Canis lupus familiaris: one gene and its partners. The protein of the gene in region 3 interacts with the protein of the main gene of each other region in a pairwise test. Links are inferred from orthologs where the notes say so. Each region holds a gene or a part of one and is shown on either strand. Other genes may lie near its edges.

Region 1 (4,372 bases), on a different chromosome or scaffold from region 3:
TTCTGATCCCCAGGTCTAAGTCTGAAGTCTCCTCAGAAAACTGTTTGGACTCTGGACTTCCGCTGTGGTTTGCAATGTTTTCTGGGGTGACCAGCCCTCATCTGAGACCAGCCCATTGCTCCCATGTAGGAAACTGACATGTAAGAAGTCATCCAGTGCTCCTGGGCCTCAGTGTCCTTACCCCTTAAGGACAGAAATAACTATATCTTGTCAGGCTCATCACACTGTGTGAGGTTCATGTGAAGCCCCACAAGTGCTTTCAACAGCAAAGAGCTCTACAGACACTCATGCTAGGAAGAAATGGAGCCAACATGTAAGAGCTTCCAATCATCAAGGCTACAACTTGAGCAATGAGCAACAGCATAGAGTAATATTGGATTATCACCCAAAGTATCACATCAATACCCACGAGTATGTGCTGATAATAAAGGGCTGAATAAGTCAATCAATAAAGGACAAGAGAGACTAATCTCCATGCAAAGAATTCCAAATAATAAACATAAAAACTTGTCCTCAAGGAGAATCTAGCCCTCCTTGGGTGTGGGTTTCACAGGCACTTCTCTCCAAAGGGTAGGCATGAAAACGGGGGGTGGGGGGGGGGGGACAGAGTAACTTTACAGTGGAGACACCTGGCAAGCACTACATCAGGTGACCACCACCAGTGTCCAGTCACAGGCCGTGCTGACAGTATGTACCCTTGCTGCCATGCCAGGAGCAGGGCCACCTACCTGGGGTGGGCTTAGGAGAAGAACATCCAGGACAGAGGCATCTCACAGCCCGCATGACCAGCATTCCTCCAAACTCTCAGGATCCCCCAGAACAAGCCTCAGCGGATGAAGTGCCAAGCCAAGGGGACCATAGGAGGGCATGCTGACCCCATGGAACCTGGTAACCTGGCCGGGATCCTGACACGGAACCAGTGCCTAGCTGAAAACTCGGTGAATCCCAACAACTATCGGCAATAGTCACACAACAGCAGGGGTTCGTTAGCTGTGACAGATGTCTGAAGTAAGGTAACGTGTAATACGGGATAAGGGGCTTGGGGAACTCTACTGTCCTCGCAATTCTGTCCGTAAACCCGAAGTAGAAACAGTCTACTCAGAAGGATCGCGGCACAAGACCCAGGCAGCCCGTTCTGAAGACGGTGCGGGGAGCGCACCCGGGGCTCGGCATGCAGCCCCTACAAGGCCGGGCCGCGCCACGGGTTCCGGGAGGACCCTGGCCATCGGGGGTCACGGCCGGGGGCAGTGGGGCTCTGCAGGGTGCGCCTCCCGCGCGCTGCTCGGCCCCAGGCAGGAGGGCGCCCCCGGTACTACGCGCCCCAGCCCTGCTCGCCCCCTGAGCACGGCGGACACCTGCCGGCGCTCCGGGCGGGAAGGTCAGGGCGGGGAAGCCAGGGCGGGGAAGCCAGGGCGGGCGCCCAGAACCCCAGCGCCCCGCCCCGGCCCCCGGCCCCGCGACTCACCGCACTGCCCGCTCTGGGCCGCGAGCTCCCGGCCGGGGGCGCTGCTCCCCCGCGGCAGCCAGCTGGGGTCGCGTCCCCTCGGCTCTGCCTCCCGGCTCCCCGAGGTCCGCTCCGAGATTTCTCCCGGATCCGCGTCCCGATTGGCCGAGTCCGCACGCCACCGCCCAATGGCAGCTCGAGACGGGCACTACGTCACCGATCACCAGGCAAATCCGCGGGCCTCCGCAGGGGGCGGGGCGGCCGGGGCCGAACGGACGAATCCGCGGGCGGGCGGGCGGGGCGCGCTCCCGCGAAGGCCTAGTTGGGCCCCGGGGCCAGACCCCCAGGCTGGCGCCCCCGGCCCCCCCCGGCCCGCCCCCTGCCTGGATGGGTCCGGGTGGGCGGGGGCCTGCGGCCGACGGGGGCGCGCCAGAGGCTCCGCATGAAGTAGGGCTCCCTGCCCCCAACGTGGCCTCATTTTGCTTCCTGAACCCGGAAGGTCTTTCGCAAGCACGTACTCGCGGAGAGGGGGGTATTTGCAAAAACTCACGACCGTTTCCGAAGCGCCTGCGATGGCCGAGGAGCTTTCCCTAAAACACCCCGAAACAGGGCAGCACTATTGTGCCCATTGCACAGAAAGGAAAGCAGAGGTTGCAAGAGCTGGGCCCCACGCGCTGCGGCTCTCTCCCTCCTCGTGGCCGCACTGGGGCACTCGGGTCCCCCACCGTTGCCGTGGGGGTCTCCGGCGACCCGGCGCATCCCGGCCGCCATCCTCAGACCAGGCGCTCCCAGGCCGCGCGGGGTCGGAAGCCCGTGGGGCGGGGCTGGGCGCCAGACACTCACCTGCTCCGGGCCCTCGGGGTGGTCGGGGGTCCAGGTGCGGCGGGGGCCAGAGAGCGGGTTCGGGGTCTCGAGCCCTAGAACCCGCCGGGCCCCCGCCCCTCCTGCGGGGTGGGGCAGGAATTCGAAGCGAAAGCAGTGGCTTCAAGGGTGCAGTGGAGAGGGTGGGGCGTGCCACCGCCTTCCGCCTACACTTCGGCCGGCGTCCTCGTCCCCGCCCCCGCCCCCACCCCCGCCTCCACCGCCCCGCCTCACCCCCAACCCCGCCCGGCTTCTCTCCCTTGCTTCCAACTCTGCGGAGGAGGGGTGGGGACCTCACCTACGGACTCGACGCCGGCGGTCTGAGCACCTGCTCTTTTACTTGTTGGTATGGAAGCAAGCGTGTGATTCCCAGCCTGCGGATCTGATCTCTCCCTTCCCTGGAGGGTGCTTGCCCCATTCTGAGGCCATGCTGTACGTCCTGCAGCAGTCCAGGGCCTTGGCCTTGCTATCTCCCTAGCCCAGGCAGAGGCACACCAGGGCCCTGCTTATCTCTGTGAGCCACTTCTCCCTCCCCCTCGGCCTCAACCCCTCGGCCACGGAACACTGGGTCCCAGCTCCTTACTGGCTGCCCATTGGTCACTCTCCTCAACTGGCATCTAGATGCATCTTCCTATGCCACTGTAAATCAGCTCCCCATCAGGCATCGTTCCCTTTCACTTTATTCATGCATGTGCCAAGGTTTTATTTTTTTTTTTTTTTTTTTTTTTTTTTAACTAAAACAGTTGACAATTTTATTTTCACATTTCACAATACAAATGAAAATTGCCTTTTTTTTTGTCTCACTACTCCCCTGCAAAAACTATTCTCAATAGGAAGGGGAAGCAAGTCTTCCTTGTCATGCTGTTAGAAAACACCCAGAGTCACAGCACCATGATCTCCTGGTGAAGTAGAACAAGTAATATAAAATGAATATAAAGAGGTTCCTGTCTCTCCTTATCTGTCTGGTCGAGTCATTCCTGGCCGAGTGGGCACCATCATGGGACGAGCAGGAGGTCTCATCATTGGGGGCCCAGGCATCATTGGCATATGGCCTCCCATAGGTGGCCTCATTCCAGGAGCAGGTCCCACTGGCATCATCCCAGGAGGAGGAGGGCCCATCATTGGCATCATGGGAGGGCCCCCCATATGGGGGGCTGGCATCATACCAGGGCGAGGAGGACCCGGGAGACTGGGGGGAGGTGGGATCATTGCCCCTGCAGGAGGAGGAGCAGAGAATGGAGTAGGAGGTATCTTTCCTTGTTGAAATGCAGCAGTTGTTTTGTCGATCAGGCTCTGAGCCTGCTCTTCCATCCATTTCTGATAGTAGTCTTTCACATTCTCTTTGTGTTTCCTACCACTGCAGTGTGTCTTTCTCACAGATGGAGAGTCATGGGTGAGGTATGTGTCGCAGTAGTCACAATAAAACTTAGGCATGTTGCTCTGCAGGCCGTTGGCCACTCCGTCCCGCGCCGCCCGGAAATGACTGTGCCAAGGTTTTATATAACCCCAGTGCTCCTCCCATCGTGCCCTCCTTCATGTCCATCCCCCAGTGACCCATCTCCTGACCCCCTCCCTTACAACGACCTTCAGTTTGTTTCCTGTGATTAAGACTCTTTTAAGGTTTGTCTCCCTCTCTGATTTTATCTTATTTCATTTTTCCCTCCTTTTTCTATGATCCTGTTTTGTTTCTTATTTTCCAAATATGAGTGAAACCATATGATAGTTGTCTTTCTTCAACTGACTTATTTCATTCAGTATCATATCCTCCAGTTCCATTCATGTCCATGTAAATGGTAGGTATTCATCCTTTCTGATACCTGAGTAATATCCGTTGTATATATACCACATCTTTTTCCATTCATCTGTCAAAGGACCTTGTGGCTGCTTGCAGTTTGGCTATTATGGACATGGCTGCTATGAACGTTGCAGGTGCACCTTCAGATCATAATCACAAAATGGTGAGCCAGAGCTTGCCATCACTGGCATCTTGATTTTGGCAAAATCTCAACTGCTCATCCTGAGACTTCTGTTGGCGTATCACTGCCTCGTCTGCATGAACCACCAGCT
Region 2 (4,150 bases), on a different chromosome or scaffold from region 3:
TGGCATTGAGAGCTGGGTGCCGTTTGGCTACCATTGTGTCATCAGAGTCACTAAAATTGGCAACAGGGGCCAATTCTCGACAGTCCTTAATGGCCTCATCGAGACTTGACTCAGAGGCCTCACTGTAGCAGCAGGTATGCTCTGCCAGGTGAGTGAAGTCTGAACGGCGCTTCCGGCCTCTCCTTTTGCGAAGCTGCCGCCTCTGCTGCCGAGGGCTCAGAGCCATCTCCTCCCACAGCTCACCAAGCTTATTCTGCTCAGATGTCTGCTCCAATGCTGAGGCTAAGTCATGTACCAGCTCATCCATGAGGCCACATCTGCCCAAAGAAAAGTTCAGAAAAAGAAAAAGAAAACCTGAATAGGATCTGTTGTTTTAAGGTAAGTTTATAAAATACATCACAAGACTGCAGAGCCTACCTGACTTACAGAAAATAAAATCACCTTTCAACTGGCTACACTTAAGATTGTTCCTACCATCCTTGCTCCCTTAAGCCACTAAAAATAGGTGTTTGGCCCTTGTTAGGAACCTCAAGTCAATATGTTCTTAAAGCACAAGAAAGCAAACTCTCACCAGATCACAAGTAAAATACTAGCAAAAACAAGCAAACCTTGGGAAATAAATCGCCCCTTCCCTTTTTCCCCAATTAAATTTGTCACTAAAATATCTGATGATAAAATCCAAAAAGATTAGAGAAAGTCTCATTAGACAGGAACAGAAAAACACACAACTTTAAAATCATGGTTAAAGAACTGCTCCATGGTCTGGGGTCCCTGATAAGAATGCTGCTAAAGAGAGGAGAAAGACAACTTAGTAACACACTTTAAGGATCACTGCTTGCAGTTTTAGTGATCCAAGAAATTGTAGTAACCCAGATTTGTATTCTGAATGGAAAAAAGAGACTAAGTCTGTATCTATTCTGGTCCCAACTACCACCTGGAAGCTAGGAGTAAAGGAAATTTATCGGATATATTGTATATTTTTTAACAATTAGCAACTTCTAAGTTCTTCTCCCAACCTTCAGAAAATTAAGTGATCATCCTAATTATGTGCTTTAGTATCAATCACACAAAAAGAGGATATAGCTAAGGCTGAAATGACAGGGATTGATGGAGTCCCTAAAATTTCTAGCTAACTGCTTTCTAAATTCTATTTTTGCATTCATTCTTGTCAAACCGTCATACATCAGGGGTCACTTCAGAGGCAAACCTTCCAAGGGATGCGGGCAGTAGGAGCAATTTTCAAAACGCCCTTTAAGAGGGAAATGTCCAATATAATTTGTACAACACCTTATTAAATACGTATTAAATTAACACCTCTTCCCTAGCCCTTGTGAAGCCTAGAGTATTTCAAGTCCATAACTAGAATTTAAAACTGTGTGGCGCCACTCGGAGGCCCTATTTCCGTTCATGCAGCTTACATTCTGCAAAGGGCTTTCTAAAACCTATTTTCTCGCTGTCCCCATGCCAACGAATTCAAAGGCAAGAAAAACTGGTGGGCTGGCTTATCTGCCACATGGACGGGAGCCGTGGGGACACCTAGTTCCAAAACTACCAACCACACAAAACGTCTCATCGTGTCAAAAGCCACACAACACAAAATGACCACTGTCCCTTTACTCAATACAAAGTCAGCCTAAAACGCCCTGAATGGGGTTTGGGAGACAACTACCCCTGAAACCAAAACAGATGTGGGGACGGCACATCCAAACCTACTTCCTTAATAAAGAAATAATGCTTTAAAAAATGGGGCAGAACTGTACGCTTTGGGGGACCCCTGGGTTGGCTCAGTGGTTTAGCACCACCTTCAGCCCAGGGCGTGATCCTGGGGACCCGGGATCGAGTCCCACGTCGGGCTCCCTGCATGGAGCCTGCTTCTCCCTCGGCCTGTGTCTCTGCCTCTGTCTCTCTCTGTGCCTTTCATGAATAAATAAATAAAAATCTTAAAAAAAAAAAAAGAACTGTACACTTTAACGTGGAACAAAGTTACAGAACTTGCAGCTGTTTGAGCAAAAATCCCTTCCTAGCCGAAGGGCTGCAATTCCAAGAGCTGGGGACACTACCCTGAGCTTCGCACACCTTCAGTCCTCAGGTGCGCGCTCCAAGACGACCCCCTTGTCCAGCTAGCTCTCGAGGAGAGGAAAGGCTAAGTCACGCAAACACAAGGCCGGGAGACGGAGAGGAGTAAAAAGAGGCAGGCGCACGGTCGCGGCGAAGGCCGGGGGGCGGCAGGAAGCAACTTCTCATTTGGGCTCACCCGGGCAGGGGGGTCGGCCCTTCTCCGGCACAAACTGCCAAAAAAAAAAAAAAAAAAAAAAAAGCAAGTGGTGGCGACTACGCTCCCTCCGTGACCCAGGGTCGCAACATGGCCACATATGTGAGGAAGAGCTGGGTTGGAAGGACCCCCCCCCCCCACGCCCCGGCCCGCCCCCGAAGACGAAAGCGAACGCGGCTTGGGACACGGAGCTCACACCCTGTCGGCCTGCCCAAAAGAGCCAGAAAGAATAAAGGAGAAGAGGGGACTGCCGCCCCGGAGACGCCCGAACCTCACTCCCCGGGATGGGGGCGATGGGCCCTGGAAAACAAGGCCCAGCCACCCCCGCCCCTCCCGCCAACCTCCGGAGCCCCGCGGCGGCCACGGCCCCCGCCCCGGCCTCCGCCCGGAGCCCCGATCCCCGCTGGCGCCGGCCCCCTGGACCCCGACCCTCTCGACCCACTCCGCCCCCTCACCAGCTGCCGCAGCCACCTCCAATGGCCGCCGCTTTTGGGGCCGAGTCTCCCCGCCGGGGTTTCCCTTTCTGACCTCATTTCCGGTCTGGGCCGGAGGGGTGGGGCAGCGGTGGAGTGGGAGGGGCTGGCTGCTCTAGAGGGCCCGCCCCCGCCCGGCGCTTCCGGTCCGTGGCCGCGCCCACTTCCGCCCCGCGGTGGGCGGGGCCTTGGAGACGCCGGGAGCGGGGGCTGGGGGCCTCAAGGGGCGGTGGTTCCGGGCGGGCGGGCGCGCTAAGGGGCGAGGTCCGCGCCTGGGGCAGATCAGCCCTCCCCAGGCTGGCCTCACCTGCCTTGGGGACGTCAAGACATTGGGCAGTAGGGAGGGACCACGGCCTCGCCCTTGTTTGCTGACCTACTTTTACAAAGGGTGTGTGAAATTGAGAAATGCATCCTCATTCTTAACTGTGAGAGTGGGTCCAACTATAAGCCGGTACCTTTGCAGTGAATCAGTCTTACAGGTACAAATGCCTCGAGCAACAAGGCAGGTACTATTGGATTATAAATCTTAAGTATACAATTGATACCCATGAGTCTGTACTGACATGAGTAAACTAATGAGATGAATACTGACATGAACAAAGTAATAAATGGGGAAGGGGGATAAATCTCTGGTGCAGAAGAATTGTGAAGAATTTATGTAGATAATTCACCCTGAAGTATAACTCCCAGCTCCTTGAATGTGGGCTGTGTGTATGGAAGGTGGGGAAATGAGTATGGTGGAGAAATTAGACAAGCACTACCTCAGCCAGGTGACCAAGGTTAACATGAACAGTGATAAATCATGTGGACCCTATGTAGGCTGGATATGACATGATGGAAGTGGCATTTTATGTCTAAGATACTTTCCTTCCAGTACGCCCACTCTAATCAAGAGAAAAAAAAAATCCAACAACTCCAACTGGGGGACATTGTACAGAATGCTTGACCAATATTCCTCAAAATTGTTAAAGGAAAAAAGTCAAGCAAAGTCTGAGAAGTTGTCATAGCCAACAGGAGCCTAAGGAAATGTGACAGCTAAATGTAGTGTGGTATCCTAGATGGGAGACTGGAACAGGAAAAGGACATTGGGTAAAAACTAAGGAAACTTGGATGAACAATGGACTTCAGTTAATAATATTATCTCAGTGTTGGTTCATTAATTGTGACAAATGTTCTATATCAATGTAAGATGTTAATAATAGGGGAAACTGGGTATGATGTAGACAGGAATGGTCTGTAGTAGCACCTTTGTAATTTTTCTGCATACCTAAAACTAGTCTAAAATAAGGTCATTTTTTTAAAATGCACATACCTTTTGACCCCGAAATTCTGCCTCTAGGGAATTTTTTTCTGAAGAAAAATTGGAAATAGGAGAGAGAGATGAGAAGATTAGAAAAAAAAATCC
Region 3 (3,645 bases):
TATTTTCATTTCAAATATATAACTAAAACTTCTCACGTCAGAACACAACTCATAGTTTGAACAGAAACTTCAGTGTTTAAATCTCAACGTTCAATAACAAACACTACATATTAGGTTGCTTTGGAATACAAATCACTCGGTTAAATAAATGGGATATAATTTCTAACTTGTGTTAAAAGTGAAGAAATCCTTTTTTATGTGAAGATGTGACCAAAATCAATTGGTCATATTACAGTAGAAATCAAACTCTACTGACACAACACATTTGTTAGAGATTTGTATACAGATATAACAACAGTTGGGAACTAGATGCTCCTTAAGCTTGGGGGTAATGAAAGAAAAAGGCATACTATGGATCAGGCCCCCATTTTTATTACTTGTTTAATAACAATGCCTACTTTATTGAAGAATGTCTCTTCCACTGGAAATACACTTCTGGTTTAATAATGTTAGTGGGGAAAAAAGGCAGACCCACTTTTAAAGAATGATTCATCCTTATTTACCTACATTGACTAGGTATAGAATGACTCTTCATTTTCTGCTCTGAAGATAACCAATTTATTTTTTGAAGTTTTGACTTGTCAACTTATTTTTGATAAGTGATTAAGAAAGATAAATCTTCTGACTTTACAAATAAGAATATGTGAATAAGAATATATATATTTTCTGAGAAGTTACATCTCGTGATCTGACCTATACTTCTGACTTACAATGTAACTAAATTCCTTTAATAACCTGCATTAATTTTAAATTTTAAACTTAAATTGTCCTTGTTATACTGTTCACATTCACTTTATTTCTCATTTTTACATTTCTATAAATACCCAAAAAACAAAACTCCTCAATTTGAAACCAACTTATATTGGAGTTCTGAGGTTAGTCTTTAACTTTTAAGATATTTTGTTAAAATGTAAAAACCCTGAAATTAGAAACAAAAATTTTACAATTTTACAGTATATATCTAATTTATTTAAAAAAATATTCTGAATTGTTTTTATACAAGTAATCAAGTGTTATTTTTTCAAATGAAACTCCTTTATAGGCTAGAAGAGGATGTGTGGTGTTGCCCCATTAAAAGCCAATACAAATATCTTTTTTTTTTTATGCTGGCACTTCAACTATTTCAAAATAGTCATTCGGCAAAATCACATAACCTCTTTCTGATATGTCGTCCTTCTCTTTCTGGAAGTGAACAACCTCCTTTAATTTTTCAAGCTGTCGTTCTTGTCTTCTGCATCTCTGCTGTGCAGTCTTGAGCTTCTTTCGGAGTTTTTCAACTTGTTGTTCTAGCTGATGAATCCTTTTTCTCTGGTGCATTGTATCCTCCACAGTATAGTTGTGGTCACAGAAAACTGAGAGATTATCAGGGGTCTGAAGAGGAGGCATTAGTAATCCAATAGCAGCATCAACCTGGGAAATGGGAGGTGTTAAAGGAGGTGGGGGAAGCTGTTCTTGTGGCTCCAGAAGATCTTCCTTCTACAACAATAATGCAAAGTAGGTTCAAGTTTAGTAACTACAAATAACAATTTAAAAGAACCCCTGTGGAATTTAAGAATGACATTTTTATAAGTTGGACAACCTAGAAGAAAAGGTTAAATTTTTAGAAACACACACTCTTCCAAAACAGGAAGAAATAGAAAGTATAAATAAACCAATCACTAGTAATGAAATTGAAAAGGTAATCAAAAAAGTCCAGGACCAGATGGTGATTCTATCAAACACTTAAAGAGTTAATACCTATTCTCCTCAAAATATTCTAAAAGACAGAAGAGAAAGGAAAGCTTCCAAATACATTCTGTTAGGTGAACAATACCCTAATACCAAAAACAAAGACACTGAAGAAAACTACAGGCCAAAATCCCTGATGAACAAAGATGCAAAAATCCTCAACAAAAATACAGGCATATTTGACAATACATTAAACACTCAACAATACACTAAAAGGATCATTCACCACTATCAGGTGGGATTTATTCCAGGGATGCAAGGATGGTTCAATATTCATAAATCAATATGAAACACTACATTAACAAAGGGTAAAAATCACACGATCATCTCAATAAATGCAGAAAAAGCATTTGACAAAATTCAACATCCTTTCAATGACAAAGTCTCAAAAAAGCTGGCTTAGAGGGAAAATACCTCAAAATAATAAAGGCCATATATGAAAAACCCACAGCTAACATTACACTCAGTAGTGAAAACTGAGAGTTTTTCCTCTAAGATCAAAAGCAAGACAAGATGTCCACTCTTGCTATTTTCATTCAACATAGTACTGTAAGTCCGAGCCATAGCAGTCAGACAAGAAAAAGAAATAAAAGGCATCCAAATTGGTAAGAAAGAAGTAAAACTATCACTATTTGCAGATGACATGATACTATACAAAGAAAATGCTAAAGACTGCAACAAAAAACTATTAGAGGTAATAAGTAAAGTTGCAGGATACAAAATTAATATATGGAAATCAGTTGTGTTTCTATACACTAATAATGAAGTAGCAGGAAGAGAAATTAAGAAAATAATTCCATTTATAATTACACCAAAAAGAATGAAACACCTAGGAATAAATTTAACTGAGGTGAAAGACCTATGCTCTAAAAACTACAGAACACTGATGAAACAAATTGAAGATGACACAAATAAATGGAAAGATATATCATTTTTATGGACTGGAAGAATTAACATTGTTAAAATGTCCATACTACCCAAAGCAATCTATAGGCTCAATGCAATCCCTATGAAAATACCAACAACATTTTTCACAGAACTAGAACAAATAATGTTAAAATTTTGTACAGAACCCACAAAAGACTCCAAACAGCCAAAGCACACTTGAGAAACAACAAAGCGGGAGGTATCATAATCCCAATTTTGAGATATACTACAAAGCTGTAGTAATCAAAAGTGGCACAAAAACAAGACACATAGGTCCATGGAATAGAACAGAAAGCCCAGAAATAAACCCATGCTTATATGGTTAATTAATTAATCTACAACAGAGGAAATAAGAATATCTATTAGGTAAAAGACTCTTCAATAAATGGTGCTGGAGAAACTGTACAGTTACATGAAAAAAAAAAAAAGAAACTGGACTTTTTTTTTTTACACCATATACAACACTAAACTCAAAATGGATTAAAAACTTAAATGGGAGGGACGCCAGGGTAGCTCAGCAGTTGAGCATCTGCCTTTGGCTCAGGGCGTGATCCTGGGATCAAGTCCTACATCAGGCTCCTTGCATGGAGCCTGCCTCTCTCGCTATGTCTCTCATGAATAAATGAAATCTTAAAAAAACAAAACAAAACAAAACAAAAAAACACCAACAAAAACTTAACTGGGAGACCTGAGACCATAAATATCCTAAAAGAAAACATAGTAATTTCTCTGACATCAGCCTTAGAGACATTCTTCTAGATGTGTCTTCTCAGGCAAGGAAAACAAAAGCAAAATAAACAATTGGTACTATACCAAAACAAAAAGCTTTTGCACTGTGCAGGAAACCATCAACAAAATTATAATGCAACCTAGTGCTGGGGTGCCTGGGTGGCTTAGTCAGATAAGTGTCCCACTTTTGATTTTGGCTTAGGTCATGATCTCAAGGCTATGAAGGGGGGCCACATGGGGGGCTCTGTGCTCAGCAGGGGG

Evidence for each region.
Region 1: the proteins of THAP1 (region 3) and tripartite motif-containing protein 26 interact in binary tests that used the Homo sapiens proteins (3 or more experiments, as listed by UniProt). The two-hybrid records come from large-scale screens. The link is inferred for Canis lupus familiaris from reciprocal best matches to the Homo sapiens genes THAP1 and TRIM26.
Region 2: the proteins of THAP1 (region 3) and GPATCH2L interact in binary tests that used the Homo sapiens proteins (3 or more experiments, as listed by UniProt). The two-hybrid records come from large-scale screens. The link is inferred for Canis lupus familiaris from reciprocal best matches to the Homo sapiens genes THAP1 and GPATCH2L.

Annotation. Positions count from the first base shown.
Region 1 is NC_049256.1:27,898,602-27,902,973, forward strand, and holds the start of tripartite motif-containing protein 26, read right to left. Parts: upstream 2,849-4,372; 5' UTR 2,604-2,848; intron 2,471-2,603; exon of another isoform or gene 2,288-2,470; intron 1,614-2,287; exon of another isoform or gene 1,466-1,613; intron 1-1,465. Other genes in the region: U1 small nuclear ribonucleoprotein C, read right to left, coding at 3,260-3,739.
Region 2 is NC_049229.1:49,414,630-49,418,779, reverse strand, and holds the start of GPATCH2L (G patch domain-containing protein 2-like), read right to left. Parts: upstream 2,849-4,150; 5' UTR 2,728-2,848; intron 2,561-2,727; exon of another isoform or gene 2,544-2,560; intron 2,289-2,543; exon of another isoform or gene 2,077-2,288; intron 318-2,076; 5' UTR 308-317; coding exon 1-307.
Region 3 is NC_049237.1:23,681,910-23,685,554, reverse strand, and holds part of THAP1 (THAP domain-containing protein 1), read right to left. Parts: intron 1,477-3,645; coding exon 1,102-1,476; 3' UTR 1-1,101. UniProt on the Homo sapiens protein: DNA-binding transcription regulator that regulates endothelial cell proliferation and G1/S cell-cycle progression.